Yarrowia lipolytica: one gene and its partner. The protein of the gene in region 1 interacts with the protein of each later gene in a pairwise test. Links are inferred from orthologs where the notes say so. Each region holds a gene or a part of one and is shown in the gene's direction. Other genes may lie near its edges.

Region 1 (4,055 bases):
TCCAATTAGTTCGGTTGGCCGACACCATGTCGTGTTGGACAGTTGTGCCAACGATTCAGGCGTTACCGAGGTCAATGAGTAATGGCAGTAATGACAGCAATGTAGTGACAGTAGATGGACAGAAACGATCGCGATCGATTCCCAACAACTGCGAACAAACACAGAAGTGATCGCACTCAGTGTCGCCCGCAAATCGTCGCAAAAGTTCGACAACAATAAGCCGCTTCTCATTGGTGCATCATCTCACTGGCGTCTCCACCACATCCAGATCGCAACGTCCTGATCACAAAGTCGCCGCAACTCGGCCAAAAACGTCGCAACACGACCGCCGCAACCCCGCAGCGCTCCTAGCTCGATTCTGCTTCGGTTGATACTATCGCCGATAGAATGGGAGCGACTTTGGACCACAAAAACCGACTTGATCTGAAATGGGTCATCACTCACTGGCGTTCCTAGCCTGTCCTCTGAAGCCGTCCCGAACCGTTCCAAGGAGCCCCGAGCCATCCCGAAACACCTCTTTGCCGGCCTCCTAGCCCATACTCACTCTCGGTCGACCCATGATAATGACTAGTGCAACTTTGATTTGGCGGCAGATGTGTCTTAAGGTCAGATCGGGTTATCGCGACTTACCCGGCCGTGGGAGGGAGGTCAAGGTTACCGCGACCGGGAAAAGGGAAATAAAATGAATAAAAAATGATAAAAAATAAATCAAATCAAATCAAATCAAATAAAAGGTGGGAAAAAAGTGAAAAAAAAGTGGAAACAAAGTGGAAAAATTCAACCATTTTTTCTCCAACTCCTAACCACCTCCTATGCCTCTCAATACCTCCTGTCAACTCCAAAAACACAAACCAAGAGTCTCAAAAAACCACGGACCAAAGGACAAAACTCACAAATCAACCACAAAAGAACCACAAAACAGGTGAATGGCGGACAAGTGGAACGAGAAAACGACGAAAAAAGGAACCGAGGAAACCACCACCTTTTATAAACATTGGAACACAAACACAAAGCCAAAAAAAATTCTCTAATTCCAAATTGCACGATAATCAATTACAATTACACGATGATTAGTGCCATACCAAAACCCTCATTTCTCGGTCAAAAAAGACAAAAAAACAATGGGAAAAAACAGAACTAGCCATATGTAGTCACGTGATCAAGTATTACCCAGCTAAAATGATAAAATCACAACAAACGCGACGCACAAAAACAAGTCACCAAACAACCAGTCTTGGACGAACTTACTTCATTCGCACAAGGTCGGTTGGTTGGTAAATGACTCATTTGAGTCATCCGTTCAAAACTCTAATGGGAAACCGAGAAACTCAATTCCCCATCGGATTTACCCTAACCCAGCGGTGATCGTAAAAACCGGTCCCTAACCCGGGCTGCTTTCTGTGGAGAGAAGCGGCTCAATCTTTGCAGAAACACCAATGGGCTACCCTAACCTTAATGTCCTAATCGGGATACCCTAACCTCAATATCCCAATACAAAACCCCCAACCCTACCCAAACCCGCCTTTTTTGCACGTGCATACCCGGGTCTGGTTATTCTCGTTTAGCTCGTCTGCAACTATGTGACATACGAGAGGGAGGAAGGGGGCGGTAATTGGGGGGATTGTTGATTCAGGCTCATGTGACTCAATAATTGGGCGGGTTTTGCGCTCCTTTTCGGTAATATGACCCAATAGGACAAAAAAATTCCCCCTCCTCCGCCTTTGCATCACGTGATCACCGTGACCTTCCACCCGGTTCCAAATCAGCTGTGCAATTAAAGTTGTGTGGAGAATTAGATCAACGTGTCCTGAACTTGTTGGGGTGTTGGAGAAGGCTGCTTGTGATGTTCTTTCTGCAATTTTTTCGTACAAAAGGATTCAATTCAGTGTCAGGAGTCGATTCCAATTTCCGGAATTCCAATTGGAGCATTTCTCGTCGATTTTGGGCCGGCTTCGCTGCTCCTCCACGTGGGTTACCCGGTCTGAAACTTTTTCAAACCTACTAAAATCCCAAAGATTATATATAGACAGCTGGGGCTCTCTTTTTCTTTGATTTTTTTCCTTTTTGATCTTTAGGAATTTTCCCAACAAACCCCCACTTTACAACCCCCCCGAAAATGTCCGCCCCCCCCCCCAACTACAAGGTTGCCGATATCGGTCTTGCTGCTTTTGGTCGAAAGGAGATCGAGCTCGCCGAGAACGAAATGCCCGGTCTGATGCAGACTCGAGAGAAGTATGCTGCTGTCCAGCCTCTTAAGGGCGCCCGAATCGCCGGATGTCTGCACATGACCATTCAGACCGCCGTTCTGATTGAGACTCTGGTTGCTCTTGGAGCCGAGGTGACCTGGTCTTCCTGCAACATTTTCTCCACCCAGGACCATGCCGCTGCCGCCATTGCCGCCGCCGGCGTTCCCGTCTTTGCCTGGAAGGGCGAGACCGAGGAGGAGTACAACTGGTGCATTGAGCAGCAGCTCAAGGCCTTCAAGGACGGCAAGAAGCTCAACATGATTCTTGACGACGGTGGAGATCTGACCACTCTGGTTCACGAGAAGTACCCCGAGCAGCTCGATGACTGTTTCGGTCTGTCCGAGGAGACCACCACCGGTGTCCACCATCTCTACCGAATGATGAAGGAGGGCAAGCTCAAGGTCCCCGCCATCAACGTCAACGACTCTGTCACCAAGTCCAAGTTTGATAACCTGTACGGATGCCGAGAGTCTCTGATCGACGGTATCAAGCGAGCCACCGATGTTATGATTGCCGGTAAGACCGCTGTTGTCGCCGGATTCGGAGATGTCGGAAAGGGCTGCGCCCAGGCTCTTCAGTCTTTCGGTGCCCGAGTCATTGTTACCGAGATTGACCCCATCAACGCCCTCCAGGCCTCTGTTTCTGGCTACCAGGTTCTCCCCATGGAGGAGGCCTGCAAGGTCGGTCAGATCTTCGTCACCACCACCGGTTGCCGAGACATTATCACTGGCGAGCACTTCTCCCAGATGCCTAACGACGCCATTGTGTGCAACATTGGTCATTTCGATATCGAGATTGACGTTGCCTGGCTCAAGGCCAACGCCAAGAACGTGGTCAACATCAAGCCCCAGGTCGACCGATTTGAGATGCCCTCCGGCCGACACGTGATCCTCCTTGCTGAGGGCCGACTGGTCAACCTTGGCTGTGCCACCGGTCACTCCTCTTTCGTCATGTCCTGTTCTTTCACTAACCAGGTTCTGGCCCAGATTGCTCTGTTCAACGCCAAGAATGACGAGTTCCGAAAGAAGCACGTTGAGTTTGCCAAGTCCGGTCCCTTTGAGGTCGGCGTCCACGTGCTGCCCAAGATTCTCGACGAGGAGGTTGCCCGACTTCATCTCGACCACCTTGGCGTCAAGCTGTCCAAGCTGTCCGACGTTCAGGCCGAGTACCTGGGAATTGCCCAGGAGGGTCCCTACAAGGCCGACATTTACCGATACTAAGCGCTTAACCGCTAGTGTCTGCTTCTAAGCCCGCTTTAAGCATCAACTGCATCTGGCTAGTGCCAGCTTAATTATTTATTAAGAGTATATAGTCCCTCAACGGGTTAGTAATTGATGATATCATCGACAGACCAATCGAGCGTTGCGAGATTGGGCAGAGTACCTGAGACAGAGCAAGTCGCAATTGAGAATAAAAAGACATCTGCCCTCAGTTGAACGTAGACCTGAACACTGCAATGTAGTTCAACTCACTCGTTTAAAGACTGGATGATATAACTGCACATCGTCGGTAAAACCAAATCTCACAAGGTACGTGCGATACAATGATCTCCTCAACACTCATAGGAGACAACCAGAATAGAGAATAGACCTGGCCAAGACTCGCCTCATGAGTACTTCACGTGACGGATATTTACCACGTGACATTTACACATGAGGACATGTCATTTCTGGATATTGCTGGCAAATCGATTGACAATTGCGCATCTCTAGATCATCCAAAAGTTGTTCCCCCTCCCCCACCGTGCGGCTCGGAAACTCGGGTGGGGGCACGTGGGGGACATGTTTTCGGGACATGCTTTCGTTACAA
Region 2 (3,125 bases), on another chromosome or scaffold:
GATCCGGCGGAACAGGACCCTGGCCCGATGGATCAGAGGAGAATCCCGCCAGATATCACAGGCCAAGCTCCGTTACCCCACAGATATCGCCCGTTAGCGTCTCTTATCGCGGCGCACAATGGCCAGGGTGCAGAGATAACCAAGAGGAGCTCTTTTGACCTTCCTACACGCCAATTTGCAACGATTCCACGACCCACCCCGACCATCAAACCCTCAAACCCTCAGTGCCTTCTAATGCGCCATGTCGGCTGCGGTTTCCTTGTGAGGATCCAAGAGTCATGGACTGGCAGCGTGTGTGCCAATGCTGCCACTACATGGTAGTTCCAGCTAACAGTGGGGTCTGGTCAGGACACTCATTCTGCCTTGGTATGGGCTCTAGAACCACTTGCACCTGATCCACCACCACCGGTTTCCAGATAACCATAAACCCCCCGAAACAGTCGCGCGTTCTTGTCTGCAAACCTGGGCGTCTGCCGGAGCAGCAAATGAAAGTCTGATCCACCCAAGGGCTGAAACAGGGCTGAAAAATGGCTATCAGCGGAATGCTAATGGGGACTCAAACAAGAGCTTCGTTGGGTGGAGTGGGTTATCGAGAAAGCTATCGATTGATTCAGAATAGCAGTTGGCCGTCCTTCTCTATAAGTATTAGGCGTTGACCGACAATCTATCTCCGCACAATGCTACTGCACAAGTCTACGCCAGCGTGGAGGTGAAGTCTTCGACAGTTCAGGTGGGTGGGTACATACTTGCACTCGTACTCGTACTACAGCTGGCCGCTAAATCCGAGAATAGTTGGGCTACAGAAAGTTGTCTCGACTGGAGCACGGATATGTGGCTGGAATGTAGGTAGCAGATCGGCAAAGACACCTAAGAGTACGAGTACTTGTAATTAGGAGGACTTGTACGACTTGGGTTTCAACAGACTCATCGCAGAACTCCTTCCTCACGCTCGTCCCACCGCCAAACCTATAGCTCTTGGTCTCAGACAGTCTAAGAGCATACGAATGAAACAGTGGCCAAGTCGAGTGAGTGAAGCTCAAATATTAGTCAGGCCCAATTCTACAGAGTGAGAATGGTACATTCTACTGGCACAATAGCGGTACTCCTACTTACCAACTATACCCTAGGAAAGCTGTCTTTAGACCCTGAAAATGGCCTTTGGACTTGATCCGAAGGCGACACTCGTACCGCCACTCTTCGCCACTCTTCTTTGCTAGCTGTGAATACTCGGCAACTGTCAATGAGCAACTGATCTCGTTTTTGGAGTGAAGTTTTGAGTGAAGTTTGAATGAGTTCGTTCATGGAACTACTCGTAGCTCTGAACTGAACACTTCCGAGACTTGTCACCAAGGCCGAGTTTTCAAGGGTTAGAAAAGCTGTCTCGTCGGTACAACTCGTTACTAATCGCCGACACATCCGCTCACATGTGCTCCAAGTATATAACATGTACGCCACTCTACTATCAAACTCCATCTGTGGATACATTTCAGATTGGTGTTAGCGAAAAGGGCCATTTTGATCTCCCCCCCTCCGAACGATTGCGGTCATGGCTCCATGGCAGAGGCCAAAACGGACTCCACTGGTTGCTGCGTTTCTCCGAAGTGGTGGTGGGTGGGGAGAAGAAGATTAGGCCTGCAACTTTTTTTTTGTAGTCTCCCATGGGTGGGTTACCCGGCCCAACATACGGCCTACAGCTGAGTATGCACCTTCATGCAGGTAAATGGCGTGCCGTGGGCTGTTGGTGGAGTTGGACGACAAACCTGACAAGTAGTTGCACCCATTGCCCAATTGCACAAAAGCACACACAATGTCGATCACGGCGCAAAACCTCTCCTACACCTTCCCCAATGGGCTTGTGGGCATCCATCCCACCTCGTTCGACCTGCCTCCCGGGTCTAGAACGTTGCTGATCGGAGCCAATGGAGCTGGAAAGTCGACGTTGCTGCGAATTCTGGCGGGAAAGACCCTCGCCAAGGCCGACAGTCTCATTGTCCAGGGCTTTGATCCCTTCCGAGACTGTTCTCCTCCTGGAATCCGGTACCTGGGCACCGAATGGGCCGGCAATCCAATCGTGAGACACGACATTGAGGTCACCCAGCTGCTAAAGTACGCCGGAGGAGATGCCTATCCTGACCGACGAGACCATCTTGTGCAGCTGCTGGACGTGGATCCCACCTGGCACATGCACGAGGTGTCTGACGGAGAGCGTCGGCGAGTGCAGCTAGTCATGGGACTGCTGGTGCCGTGGGAAACTCTTCTGCTGGACGAGGTGACGGTTGATCTGGACGTTCTGGCCCGAACTAACCTGCTCAACTTCCTCAAGGAGGAGACCGAGACCCGACAAGCCACCATTGTTTACGCCACCCATATTTTCGACGGCCTCAACCAGTGGCCTACGCACGTTGCCCATATGAGCCAGTCCACCATGTTGAGTTGCGACACCTACGATGTGGTCCAGCGGGAGTTCCCTGGCAAGAGCATTCTGGAAATTGCACTGGGCTGGATCACCGGGGATATGGAACGGCGTGGGCCTCGCCTCCCCAGAGCAAAGAGACAGAGGGTTAACTAGGCTATCCACCGACAGTGCGATAGATACATCGACCAATGTACATGTAGATATATAATAGATCTGATACTAATGATATGGTTCCAATGGTATTAGACAGCTTCTTGTCTTGCGTCAGCCAAGGTGACTAAGTCAAAACGGCGCTAAACATAAGCCAAGAGAGATCTGACATAATATCGCCCTTAAGACCCGATGTGATACCCACTAGGGTTGCGTGAGCAATCTATACACTAGCCAGATGGCTTCTTTGTGTCTTTAGTGTCGAGTTGGAGAGTGGTGATACTCCATGGACTATAGCTGACTGTCCGAGTAGAGTATCAGCAAACCACATTAGACGACAGAGCAGCTCTTGCACTTTTACTTGATATTTTCACAACTGATCTCCAACGCCATTACTAATCAGATACGATGGATACGACGCGGCTGGGGCCCGGATTAGGTTGATGGAGATCGGCATCGGAACCCCAGTGCTGCTAAAGGTACGAGTTTCAGGTGTGCATCTACAAGTAGCAACAGGTGGGATATTTGTATGAAAGAAAGGGGAATTATTTATACGAGT

What was found.
Region 2: the proteins of YALI1_F15517g (region 1) and YALI1_D26467g interact in binary tests that used the Saccharomyces cerevisiae proteins (3 or more experiments, as listed by UniProt). The link is inferred for Yarrowia lipolytica from reciprocal best matches to the Saccharomyces cerevisiae genes SAH1 and CAF16.

What each region holds. Positions count from the first base shown.
Region 1 is NC_090775.1:1,549,856-1,553,910, reverse strand, and holds YALI1_F15517g (uncharacterized protein), read left to right. Parts: upstream 1-2,116; coding exon 2,117-3,466; downstream 3,467-4,055. Other genes in the region: YALI1_F15533g (uncharacterized protein), read right to left, coding at 545-559. UniProt on the Saccharomyces cerevisiae protein: Adenosylhomocysteine is a competitive inhibitor of S-adenosyl-L-methionine-dependent methyl transferase reactions; therefore adenosylhomocysteinase may play a key role in the control of methylations via regulation of the intracellular concentration of adenosylhomocysteine.
Region 2 is NC_090773.1:2,644,845-2,647,969, forward strand, and holds YALI1_D26467g (uncharacterized protein), read left to right. Parts: upstream 1-1,807; coding exon 1,808-2,569; downstream 2,570-3,125. Other genes in the region: YALI1_D26454g (uncharacterized protein), read left to right, coding at 528-642, 693-850.